3 linked regions of the Drosophila melanogaster genome follow. The protein of the gene in region 1 interacts with the protein of each later gene in a pairwise test. Each region holds a gene or a part of one and is shown in the gene's direction. Other genes may lie near its edges.

Region 1 (4,408 bases):
CTAGAGGAGTACCGGCAGCAACTAACCACGCCTACCAGACCAGTCGAAAGCCCGGAAGGATACCTTGTATACAATGTGTTCACTACCATTACCATTACATTCAAATGAGTCCTCTAATAGGAGGATTCTCTCAATTTTTTCATGGTAATATTTGTATGTACACCAATTCCGAAATTGGAATCAGCTTGTTCTGTCATAGATTTGCATGTCCAAATGCCAAGTTCTTAGTTACTAATCTCGACATGTATGGGCTTAAATTCCACTGTGATGAAGAACTGCCCTTGAAGGCCGTCTGACGACAACACAAGCAAGACCGGCAAGGTGCACATCATTTATCTTCCATGGTCGTGGGCTGCATGCAGATATATCGCAAAGGTTTCGGGCCAAGTCCATTAGTAGCCATGGGTTACCGGTGCCGTAGAGAGGGGTCGGGGTCAAAGGGGCACTAACATACCTCAAACTATTGCCAAATCATCATCATCTGCGGCAGAGACCCAAATTAAGATCCCGAACGGTAGCAAAACAAATCGCTTTTCGAATTTCGAAAAAAAAATCGCGCACCTGGGAAAACAGCAACAATTACGAGGCGAAGTAGGGTGCACAAGAGAGACCCAAGAAGAGGAAGAAGGGATACCAGAGGAGAAAGATACGGGTTGTTGTAAATTAAATGCAATTTACGCACAAACTAAGCTGTTTTTGGGGAAATGTAAGTGAGCCAGCTGAGGAGGAGGAAGTGAGAAGAAACATGAACACAACAGGGCCAAAATGGCAAGATGGCAAGGGGCGTGGTAAGCAGACATGTGATTTTTAAAAGTGTCACTTGAACTTGAGTGGTAACACTCGCACAGTGGGTAAAAATGCTATTGAAAATTGAAGTCCAAACAGGCTTATAATATAAGGATATATAATATTATAATATAATACTGATCTTTATATCGAATATATTGTACATACGTATGTACAAAAACTGTAAGTATCAATCAAAAACTCACTCACTTTGTTTTGCCCAGGATCCACAGACGATGCCCACTTCTTTCCACAAACCGTGGACCCTTTTCCATCACTAGGTGGTAACTTGCACTCTCCTTTTACGCCTTTCGTTTCATCTGCCTGCTTCATGAAACGCGGGGCGCGGGGGAAACCGAAGCCGACGCGAGAACCGTTATAATCCACAAGCCTTGAGCAAGTTGCAAATGCGTAGTTATCTATATTTCAGATGAACCAAAGCGATCGCTAGAGAGCCGTTATATTCCGCAAGTCGCAACAAAATTATGAATTCGTAAATATCACTATTTCAGCCACAACTTGTACAAACGTGTTCCTTGTTTAGTTTAAGTAAATGCTTTTATCCCTGGCACACATTTCCCGGAGCCCATACAATATATGTAAGTTGCACACGCTGATCGCAAATCAAACTAACCAAAGCGACAGCTTCGCGCGAGAGAGAGAGCAAGGATGTCGTTACAGTTTGAGAACATTGAGAACAGTGAATGTGCAACCGTAACAGTTTTATGACTTGGAAATCTAAATCGTTTTTTAATTCGAATAATGCTGTAATATAGTTTTAAATATTAATGTTTTAAATTCTTTATTTTTCGAATCTAAAAGACAATTAAATGTATAGCGTTATCAAGAAAATCTATTTTGTATACATTTGTTCAAGTCGTATGTATTTTTAAGGAGCTAGGTCACACCATTGAATATTTATGCACACGTGAATTTAACCCACTGTGCGCAAACGAAACTAAGAGTGAGGGAATGAAGAAAGGCTGCAGCGCAGTCGGAGTCGGCGTCACACACGAAATACCGTTGTTTTTCGCGTGCGTGAGCGTGAGAGCGACAAAAAGAGAATGCCAAGAGAGCAGCATGGCAAGAGGCAAAGGCAAAAACCGAGTTTCTTGCAGTTTGAAGTGGCTTCTTTAAAATGTATAAAAGGGTCGGCACTCACAGAGTTCGTCAACATAACGCCAACGGCAGCGATTAGAGTCGCGTCTCGTCTCGTTCTATACTCCGGATCCAACGTGAGGAACAAGGATAACCGATAACACGATCGAAGGATAACCGTTAAATTCACTTTTTTTTCCGTGATTTTTGCTGTGACTTGAGCATGAAACTACCGTTAGCTTGCGCTGTGCTAAGCTGCTGCTTCTTTTTGTTGGCAGCCGCCTCATCTTCTCCAGCTGCCGATGCTTCTTCTTCAAAGCCCGCTTCATCTTCGGCTGAGACCTCATCCTCCGCTAAGCCAAAAAGAGATGCTGGCCTAAGTTTCGGAGGAATATCCAGCTATCACGGCCCTTCTCACAAATATCTGCCGCCCGCCTATGAGAGTCACCTTAACCTCGGCAGTTTCCATGGAAGCTCGGCTGGTTATTCCGATTACCCCAGTCACTTCAAGGGCGAGAGCAGTTACGGACACCACTTCGCACACGGACACTCCGGAAGCCACGGCTACGCCAGTTCCAGTGGCCATGGAAGGCCCCATCATTACAGCGGTAGTGGAGTTCCTAAAATCGAAACCTACATCGTTCAAACAAGTGGCGGCTCGAGTTCCGGTCACAACTACCATGGTCAGGGACATGGACATGGAATCGGTCACGGGATCAGTCATGGAATCAGTCACGGCCTGAGTCACGGGCATGGATCTGGATTGGCCTTTAAGTACGCACCATCTACCAGTGGAGCCTATCTGAATCTCGTTGGGAATGAACACAAGACCAGCACATATGTGGTGGCCACTCCCGAGTACTCCGGACACAGCCACGGAGCGAGGGGCAGCACCCACGGAATTGGCTACGGATCGGCACCAGCCCACAGACCCAGCTACGGTGGCCACCTGCAAAGTCACGGCTATGGCAACAACTTTGGCCATGGCCCCAGCCATCACATCGCCCATGAACCAGTCAGTCACGGACCTATCCAAAGTTTGGATCACGGTCTGGAGCATGCCTTGGAGCACGGTCTGAGCCACGCCCTGGGATTGGGTCACTCTTCGGGAGGACAGTTCCCACAGCACGCGCTGCCCCAGCCGGCGGAGGAGCATTCTGGGTACTCCTACGATGCTCCCGCCACGCCTTTTGGAAAGGGAGTGCCGTTGAGCAGTTACGGCGTACCACTCATACCCGGCTACGATCACCAGGAGTCACTGCCGGAGCCAGTGCAAGTGCAGGTGCTGGAGCAGGAGCACAAGGGCGATCGGGAGCAGGAGAGGGAAACACCGGTTTATGCTCTGGGCCACAAGGGCCTGGGTCACTTCAGCTACACGGCCAGCAAGCCACAGGCTCTCCACACCGACGTTCTCAGCTCTGCCCACCACTCCGTCCAGTCCGGAGCACCCAGCCACGACCTAGACGTCTCCAAGGCGCCTTTTAGGCCCAGTGCCTTTCTAGGGGCCAAGCACGAGTCCGGATCGAATTCCATTTCCGGCTACGACTACGCCACGCCCAGCTCCACATTCCTGCAGGCTCCTTCTTCGCCAGGCTATGACTACCAGGCTCCGGCGCAACTATACGGACCACCCGGCCACTCCGGGGACTCGGCCACGCCTATTTTCGAACCGGAGGCGACCTACCTGCCTCCTGCCAGCAGCTACGGCCCAACGGCCGCGTCCTCCCATGGTTACCACTAAATTATTAAACTAGTTTTAAGCTCTAGCGTCCAATGTATTTTTTTATCCCTATCTATTTGGTACTGCAAGCCAAGATGGAACAATAAAAATCAAGAAATCAAGAGTCACAGTGTTGAAACAATTTGAAAAGGAAGGAAGAAAGAGTATTTGCAAGTGAGATAGTTATGTGGAAAGAAAGTTCTAAGCAGTACAAACTGATGGGTTTTACAATAAAATGAAGCCACTTAATAGGCCAAATGAAAATGATTTCTTTTTAAAAGCGAAATGGAACTTTCTCAACTTCTCTTCGTGTGCGGAGGCTCCTCCCTACCAACTGGATAGATTCCAGGCTATTGGAATGCCGCACACGTCGCAGATTTTGGCAGTTTCTCTCCGATTTGTGGTTACAAATTGGTTCGATTTCGGATTTCGCTTAAAAATTGTGATTCGCATTTGATGCGTGAAACTATATCAAACTAAAGAGTGGACGGCTGTCGTGGGAGGCGTGGAGCAGCGTAGGGAGTGGAGCTTCCAAAACGACGCTGGCATGGCAATGAGTCGAATGGGCTTGGGCTGCCCAGGCTAACTGAATTAGACCTGCTGAATTAGAATACAAGTTAAAAGGAGGCGTCTTGAGTTCACAACGTGTTCACAACGTGTTCACAAATGCGATCAAGTGGATGCCATCCGCTGGTTCCGCTTGCCTATCCCCCAGTTGCACCATTCACCGCCGCGTGATGGATGGTCAACGCACTGGCCGCCGCCTCTCACTCTGCTTCCATGTTAATCATAACTTCAACTTCA
Region 2 (3,833 bases), on another chromosome or scaffold:
GGGTTTTTTGTTTATGGAAAGTGTTATTGTTTGACTTTGAACTTTCCGCTTGTTTGCTGTCCTTGCGCCTGTGGCTGTGTGTGCGAGAGTGCGAGTGTGTGCTTTGGACCAAAGCCGAGAATGGCCCAAACAATATAATAAAATTTAATGCGCTCATATTTCATGGGCCAACAAACGCACGCACGCACAGACAAAAAGCGGATCTCGAAAGCCCAGGGCTGGGCAAATAAATAAATCATCCAGCCAACTTTATCGCTTTATTTTAAAAAGCACTGCCAGAATGATTGAATCGTTTCAGTCGCATAAAACGGATTTACACGCATATGAGGCAAAAACACTCTTGTTTTTTCACCAAGCGATTTGTTCTCAATTTTTTCAGTTCAACTTTTAACAGCCATAAATGGGTTTTCAATAAGCCGTTCTGTATCAAAATAAAAAAATATTTTTGGTTGTACAATATATTTTCAGCTTGGCGATAAGTTAATATCAACAAATTGTCAAGCGTGTGTGATTTTAACGTTAATTGATCTGTTTTTAATTTAGCTGCTTAAACAGGCGATAGGAAAACTTTCTCATCAACTTTGATAACATTTTTCGCATTCAATATCGAGGAGTATGATAAACTTTCTTACGTATTCAGGCCCACACAAGTGGGCACAGCGCAGAACAGAAATTAAGTGTTAAAGTTTAACTTTAAGGTTCACAGTTATCAGTTTTTTTAAATAAATCAACAGAAAAAAATATAGTCAACTGTCTCAACTATTAGATATACATATATGTATATTTATAATTGCAAAAAAAAAGATAAAAAGGGTTTTGTTCAAATATTACATTCATCTTGTATATTTTTTTGATGTAATATCGTCCAAACCAATGGCCCATTAAATATATATATATATATATATATCCCTTCCATCTAATTTTTGTTTAAATACTATACATTTTTAAAACTATATTAAAACTGTATTTATCCACTATCAGTATACATGCATGGAAGCAGTTTTATGAAAACAAACAATTTCTTTTATTTGAGTACATACCTTTGTCGTTTATTAATTTAATAATCCCCGTTAAAATGATCGTCTAAATATATCTGATTTAAGTGCAAATCAAATGTTATTTTCAATAAGTTTTATCCAATGTTTGCAATCCACTCACAATAACATCCACAGAGTCACTCAAAAATGGTCTAGCTCTTGGAATAAGTATTATTTTACAGCGCAGCTTCCGTATTCTGTGATAAGTTGAAATAACTCTATATACGCCGAGTTCAGTAAACGACAAAACTAGGCGGCAATGGACGGAAATCGATGTGGTTTTGGGGTGAAGCCCATAATGACACGAAGATACCAAAAATCGAAGCTATTTAACGCGGACGCCCAACGGCGAAGGTGTTTTCACAACTATTTTTAGTAGTCCATAGCCACTTGGGTTTGTGCTCCCTTGCTGCTCGCATTTTCTCGCCGACACTTGGGTTTTGATAAGCTCGCGATTTGCACAATTAACAGTGATGGGTAGAGCGGGCGCGGGGAACACGGGGACGGGTCAAGCATCCGCGGCACTTATTGTGATTTTCTTGGGCTGCGAGCGCGCTTTGTGCATTTAATAGGCACGATAAAAGCGGCGGAGCTTTGAGCATGTACGCAGCAACAGATTTGAGAATATTTTTTTGCTATTGTTATAACAACAACAATTAGTTGAAACTTATGTTAGTTTCACACCGCTGGCAGTTTTGTTCTCACTTTTGTCAAGTTTATTGAGATTTGCAAAATTTTATTTTCAAATAATTTTCCTTTGGCGCCAAATGAGCATCCATCCCTGGCAGTGCTTCGTGATCAGCTGATTTTAGTGCCTATCAACTTATACGTATGCATACTAAAAACGGTCACTCTGCACGCCAGAAGTCATATTCATTGCTTATAAGCAATTATTAATTTCAACTAATTTCATACGTGTCTCGCTTTAGTGGGCATTATGGCCGACAATTTGGAGCCCCTGGAGCCCAGCCTGCAGAATCTCGTCGAGCAGGACTCCCTCAAGTGGATCTTCGTGGGCGGAAAAGGCGGCGTGGGCAAGACGACTTGCAGGTAAAACAACAACAACAAGCCAACTTTCTCGGTTGATCTAATTAATCTTCGTGTTAAACATAGTTCTAGCCTAGCCGTTCAGCTGTCGAAAGTGCGCGAATCCGTGCTAATCATATCCACAGATCCGGCGCACAACATATCGGATGCATTCGATCAGAAGTTCACCAAGGTGCCGACAAAGGTTGGTGGAAGAATCCGGAAATGAAGTCATTTACCATTGTATAAGCTAAACTAAAGCACATCGCAATTCCTTTTCCGCAACCAGGTAAATGGCTTTGACAACCTGTTCGCCATGGAAATCGATCCAAATGCCGGTCTCAACGAGCTGCCCGAGGAGTACTTCGATGGCGAAAATGAGGCGCTGCGCGTGAGCAAGGGCGTCATGCAGGAGATGATCAACGCCCTGCCCGGCATCGACGAGGCGATGAGCTATGCAGAGGTTATGAAGCTGGTCAAGGGCATGAACTTCTCGGTAGTCGTCTTCGACACGGCGCCCACGGGACACACGCTGCGTCTGATTGCATTTCCCCAGGTGGTGGAGAAGGGGCTGGGCAAGCTGCTGCGGCTCAAGATGAAGGTGGCGCCCCTGCTGTCACAGTTCGTCTCCATGCTGGGCATGGCTGATGTGAACGCTGACACACTCTCCCAGAAGCTGGACGACATGCTGCGCGTTATCACCCAGGTCAACGAGCAGTTCAAGAACCCAGTACGTAGAAACATGTATTTAGCTCGTACAACGCCTAATCCGCATTCGTCCTTCGGCAGGATCAAACTACATTCGTCTGCGTGTGCATAGCAGAGTTCTTCTCGCTGTACGAGACGGAACGACTTGTGCAAGAGCTAACCAAGTGCGGCATCGACGTCCACAACATCATTGTAAACCAACTGCTGTTTCTGCAGAACTCGCACGACTCGTGCAGCATGTGCGCCTCCCGCTTCAAGATTCAGGAGAAGTACCTGGACCAGATTGCCGACCTGTATGAAGACTTCCACGTAACCAAGTTGCCGCTCCTCGAGAAAGAGGTGCGCGGTCCAGAGAGCATCCGTTCTTTCTCCGAGAACCTTATGAAGCCCTACAACCCCAAGGGCGAGCCCAAGGAATAGGATAGCCCGTCCAACCCTTTACCCATCCGTTTGTAAGTTTCTTCCTTAGTTTGTGTGAACAGAAAGTGCGTAAAATAAATTAAAGTTGAGGCAGCGATCCCCGAAGGGATCTGCTTCGACGTGTAATGCGTAGACAACGCTTAACGGATGCAGTATTCCAAACTGGAGAGGGTTACAACGAATGATACTTTCAAAGACCGCCCCCGGCACGCTCCATTTGCATTACGGTGGGAAAGTTGCTGCCTTGCATCTGCCTTTTGTGGTCCAGATACAGCCGTGCGTACCGCAGGTACTCGGTGTTGCCCTGCACAATAGCCGACATGAGCAGAAGGAACTCATACAGGTTCACCTTGCCCTGGGCATGGACATCAATGTCCCGCAGGACATCGTGCATCAGGTCGACGGGCACCTCCTTTACGCCCATCGTTTTCATTGCCTTGCAGCAGTCTGCAATCGACACGTACCCCGTATTGTTATCATCCATTTGCCTGAACTGCCCGGCAAACTTGCGCACTTGGCGCACGCTCATCTTAATGGGAATGCTCATCTGCGAAGCGCTCTCCTTGGTCAGCTGGCCCATCTGGGAGTTAAGAAAAGTTCGCGTCTGGCGGATCTGCTTTTTAATTTGATCTCGCGACCAGT
Region 3 (5,057 bases), on another chromosome or scaffold:
CTTACTTTTCCATATTAATTTCCAATTAAGCGTCACCATTTTTTTTCGTGTGCACTTTGTGTGTGCTGCATTTGAGTTGCGACTTTGCCGCCCTGCCACATGCATCATGAATCACGCAAATTCGCGGCACGCAAAGACAATGACGCCAGCCCCTTTTCGCACCACTCGCTGGGTGTCGAGGACGCACAACTCCGGCGTTTGTAATCAGGGTCGTCAACGCGAAACTATAGTTATAATACGTAGATAGAACAAAAGGAACGTACCCTCCACTGGCATTTCCAAGGAAACTTTGCTCGTAAAAGCCGGAATAACAGTTAGCATTCATGCCGCCCTTTAAGTTTTGTGGCATTTAGTCAGGTGCCCAAAGACGGGGGAATCGGAATTTGGATACCGGCAGTGGAGTGCCGACAGCCGTTTGACAGTAAAACTCTGGCCTTGGGCGCATCTATTAAAATTTATATGCAACCGAAACTGGAACTGGACGCCAAACGGACAAGATACACACTGTGCGAAAATGTGACAGCCTCCCATAACCCGCAATGTAACTAAATATTCACTTAACTACTATTAAGTGGGATAGAAGGCAAATGAAATGACTAATCCATATGCACAGCGGAAATTATTATATTTTAGTATTTGCAATTTAAGATGTAGTACTAAATACTGAAGCATCGTTCTTAACACTTTTCGAAACTATAATCTTTCTCATGTAGCGAAGATACCTCTTTACCTGTGATGCTGATATCAGCTTGAGTGGAAAGTGAAAACATTTTTTCTCAGTGCCTTTTAGTTGAAGCACTTTCCGCGGACGGCGGTGTTGACAAACTGCTCGCAGAGTTTTTGGCTTTCGCTTGGCTTTGGCGACTTGGCGCCTCGTCCTTGGCATGAAGTTCGCCGCTGGCCTTTAATTAGCTTTTCTCGGATTACTCATACGCCATGGGGGCTGGGCTCGGGTCGAGTGGAGTGGAGTGGAGCTGGGCTCCATTGTTTCAGCACTGGCATGCGGATGTGGTTGGTCAAACGTGCATGTCGGGCACGTGTTTTGCTTTGGCTTGAAATTGGTGGTTGGGTTCGGATCGCATCGGATGGGGTTAAAGTTAAAGCGAGCGTTCTTAATGTCAGGGTCAATGCAGAATACGGGGGTCCTGCATGTGTGGAATCGACGGCCATCTTACTCGTCCCAATATTGGCGGCATGCATATAATACCCACTGACGGTGCATAAATCAAAATATATACAAAAAAAAAAATACAAGCGGGCAAAACAATGTGTGTGTTTTGTTGCTCGAGAGATACAATACAATATTTATTCAAAAGCAATTGGCCGGGCGCTTCTGTCGCCGACAGCTGCACAAAACTCGGGGGACACTTTTGACACACACACGTGGCCAGGGCGACCTTATAGTACATAATGAGTTTGCTGGGTATGCAGAGGAGCAAAGTGGCCTTGCCACTGGCAATTAGAGTTATTTTCACTAGCAATAGGGGACATGTCGGTGCTGCAACGTGCCCGCAAAATGGACAAAAACATGTGCATGAATAATACAGGTGAATGTTATGGACATTTGCCACCATTGGGGCTCGTGAAATGGTCGACTAAATCAAATATATTATAATTTGTGGGTACCAAAGGTATAAGCTTGAGGTACTAGCCAAACAATTTCTAAAAACTAATATTTTGCATTTTTAAATCTTAACTAAAATATAGTGAAATTTGATTATCCTCTTTTCTTATAGACCTCAACTAGGCGACTGTATACTTAGTGATTAAGTAAATACTTAGGTTTTTGGGCAATTCAACTTATTATATAGTTGATGGTTATCGTTAATCGAAATTTCAATACAATGCAATTTCCCGCCAAATAAAAGTGTGACCATTAGTTTATATTAAACGAAATTCCTAACATTCTTTTGCGCGCTTTGGTATTTTGCACCAATGCATTGAGTCCATCAGCTGTTTATTTAATTTCAAAACTGAATCTATAACGAAGTAAATAATTGAAAATGAGCACTTTTAAGCCAAAGTTCCTAAAACCCGAGACGGACGATGCAATCACAGATAGTGCCGGTGGTGAACAGCAGTCCTCCGCCTTTGTATTCAATGTCAATCACAATATGGGACTCATGGAGCAGGTGGGCTTACAAAATATTTCGTAAACATTTGCTAGAATAACAAATTAAACTTAAATTATTACAGAGGGAACGTTTGCCCATTCGTCAGTACCGGGATCAAATACTTTACTGCTTGGAAAAGCATCAAGTGGTCATACTAGTGGGTGAAACAGGCAGGTTTGTATGGAATTCCATGAGCTTCAAAGTAATGCTTCTAACTCTGTGGTTTTTCATATTTCCCAGTGGCAAGAGCACCCAGGTGCCACAGTATTTGTATGAATGGGGCTGGCACACCAAGGGACTCATTGGCATCACCGAACCACGACGCGTTTCCACCGTAAGTAATCCTAAAGCAAAGCAACTATAAAATCTAAAACTAAAGACTTCATTTCCAGGTTACGCTGGCTAATCGCGTGGCACAGGAACGCGGCGAACTGGTAGGTGACACGGTGGGCTATGTAGTTCGCTTCCTGGAAAGCATGAGCTCCTGTACCAAAATCAAGTTCATGACCGAGGGCATCTTGCTGAGGGAAGTCCTAGCCGATCCGCTGCTCACCCAATATGGTGTTATCATCGTGGACGAGGCGCACGAGCGGAATATGCTCACCGACATGATTTTGGGACTGCTCAAGAAGATCCTTCGCAAACGCAGCTCGCTCAAGCTCATCATTTCATCGGCCACCATAGATGCAAGCTTCTTCAGCGAGTTCTTCAGCTGGCCAGGATCGGGCGAAGTGAGCGTTAAGCTAAGCATTGAAGGTCGCATGCATCCTGTGAGTAATTTCTATCTGAACGAACCCTGCGCCGATTATGTGAAGGAAACTGTGGAGACCGTCTGGAAACTGCATCAAAAGGAGCCGCCTGGCGACATTTTGGCCTTCCTAACTGGCCAGGAGGAAGTCCTGGAGGCGCTGGATCTTCTGCGCGAATACATCGCCAGTTCGGAACAGGAGAATCTCAAGGTGCTGCCCATGTATGGTAGTATGTCGAGCACTGATCAGTTGTCGGTATTCTTTACCCCGCCCAAAGGAACCCGCAAAGTGGTGCTGGCCACGAATATAGCAGAGACCTCCATCACCATTCCGGGCATTGTTTATGTGATAGACTGCGGCTACGTCAAGGTAAAATGGTACAATCCCAAAACCTGCAGTGACAGTTTGGTTATAGTGCCCGTCAGCAAGGCGTCGGCCATCCAGAGAGCAGGACGAGCGGGTCGTATGCGTCCCGGCAAGGTCTATCGTTTGTACACTAAATCAGACTATGAAGCACTAGCTCCTCGGCAGCCACCCGAAATGCGACGCAGCGAATTGAGCGGCGCTATCTTGCAGTTAAAGGCGCTGGGCATCGGGAACATATTGCGCTTTGATTTCCCATCGCCACCACCGGCACAGAATCTACTTTCCGCACTGGAGAGTCTATTTGCCTTGGACGCCATCGATGAGCAGGGCAATCTGACGAAGCCCGTGGGTTACCTGTTGGCCGAACTCCCCTTCAGCGCTATGCTCTCCAAAATGCTCTATGTTTCCGGTCAGATGGGCTGCTCCGAGGAGATCATAACCATCATTGCGTTGCTGCAGGTGCAGTCTATATTTTCGCGCCCAGCTTCAGCGGTTGCCCAACAAAGTGGACGCATTGCACATCGAAAATTCGAAGTTGCGGAAGGGGACTTTATTACGATGTTGAACGCTTACACTGGCTTCGTGGAGGAGGGCATGACCAAGGAGTTCTGTGGCCAATACTTCCTCATCTACAGGAATCTTAAGAGGGCCCACTCGCTGAGGGAGCAACTCATCACAGTGGCCAGAAAGAAGTACGGCATTCCAATCTTCTCGTGCAAGGGCGATGTGGAAAAGTTGTGCAAGTGCATCACCGCCGGCTTCTTCACACAGGTGGCCTATCTGCATCACTCTGGAGTTTATAGACAAATCAGCAGCGGCACTGAACTGGCCATTCATCCGAACTCCACTCTCTACACACTTCCTCAAGCTCAGTACGTGGTCTATGGGGAACTGCTCCAAACGACGAAATTGTTCATGAACTACGTGACCGTAATCAAGAGAGAGTGGCTGACGGAGCTGGCGCCGCATTATTACCAACAGACCACAGTGCGGGATTAGCAGGAACTAAAGCCTTAATGATAGGTGTAAGTCTATTAAAATAGTTCATTAAATCAAATAACTAAGTTTATTGTAAAATTATAGGTGAAACGATGCCGCCTCTTGAAAAAGAACTTAAGCTTAGGTAATGGATTCCATATGATGATTCCTATTGTGTGTTTAACCAGCGGCGACGCGCCCTCGTCCCTGAAACATCATCATAGACTCGGGTCCACGGATGACACGCGACATCAGCTCCCAGCACATTTTGGCGGGCAAAAGACTGAGAAAACCAGCATTAATTACATTGTATATAACTATGTTAAATAGACTACTTACCATTTGAGAGGAGTGAGCAGGCGAATAGAGTTGGGCAGCACGCACCACACCTCGTTGCAGCGCACGGCGTTCTCGATGCGATCCGCCACATACTGCGGCTCCAGCATGGGCATCATCCGCGGCCGAACACCCGAAAACATGCCCGTGTTGATGTAGTACGGGCAGATCAAACTCATTTGGATTTGATCATAGCCATGGGCCTTCAGATCGGTGAGCAAACTCTCGTGGAAACCGATGCAGGCGTATTTGGTGGCCGCGTAGTCACTGCATCCGTAGGTGCCCAGCATTCCAGTTACCGAGCCCACAGTAACGATATGACCACGATTATTGCGCATCATGTGAGGCAGAAACGCTTTCACGGTCCAGTAGTGCGATATGATGTTAATGTTGTACGTGTTCTGGATGACCCGATCGTGCAGCTCCCAGAAGGGTTTGCAGCACACGATACCGGCATTGTTAATCAATATGTCGACGGGACCAACCTCCTCGGTCACCTGGCTGGCACGCTGGT

What was found. The genes of interacting proteins can lie anywhere in the genome.
Region 2: the proteins of CG11382 (region 1) and CG1598 interact in a two-hybrid assay, tested with the Drosophila melanogaster proteins (one large-scale study listed by BioGRID).
Region 3: the proteins of CG11382 (region 1) and CG3225 interact in a two-hybrid assay, tested with the Drosophila melanogaster proteins (one large-scale study listed by BioGRID).

What each region holds. Positions count from the first base shown.
Region 1 is NC_004354.4:1,207,990-1,212,397, forward strand, and holds CG11382 (uncharacterized protein), read left to right. Parts: upstream 1-1,980; 5' UTR 1,981-2,107; coding exon 2,108-3,625; 3' UTR 3,626-3,864; downstream 3,865-4,408.
Region 2 is NT_033778.4:7,537,732-7,541,564, reverse strand, and holds CG1598 (uncharacterized protein), read left to right. Parts: upstream 1-1,868; 5' UTR 1,869-1,974; coding exon 1,975-2,087; intron 2,088-2,150; coding exon 2,151-2,268; intron 2,269-2,352; coding exon 2,353-2,793; intron 2,794-2,852; coding exon 2,853-3,191; 3' UTR 3,192-3,333; downstream 3,334-3,833. Other genes in the region: Gpo2 (glycerophosphate oxidase 2), read right to left, coding at 3,382-3,833. UniProt on the Drosophila melanogaster protein: ATPase required for the post-translational delivery of tail-anchored (TA) proteins to the endoplasmic reticulum. Recognizes and selectively binds the transmembrane domain of TA proteins in the cytosol.
Region 3 is NT_033779.5:4,815,113-4,820,169, reverse strand, and holds CG3225 (uncharacterized protein), read left to right. Parts: upstream 1-1,924; 5' UTR 1,925-2,003; coding exon 2,004-2,132; intron 2,133-2,196; coding exon 2,197-2,288; exon of another isoform or gene 2,289-2,354; coding exon 2,355-2,448; intron 2,449-2,506; coding exon 2,507-4,228; 3' UTR 4,229-4,254; intron 4,255-4,278; exon of another isoform or gene 4,279-4,312; 3' UTR 4,313-4,387; coding exon of another isoform or gene 4,388-4,490; 3' UTR 4,491-4,546; downstream 4,547-5,057. Other genes in the region: CG15629 (uncharacterized protein), read right to left, coding at 4,388-4,490, 4,547-5,057.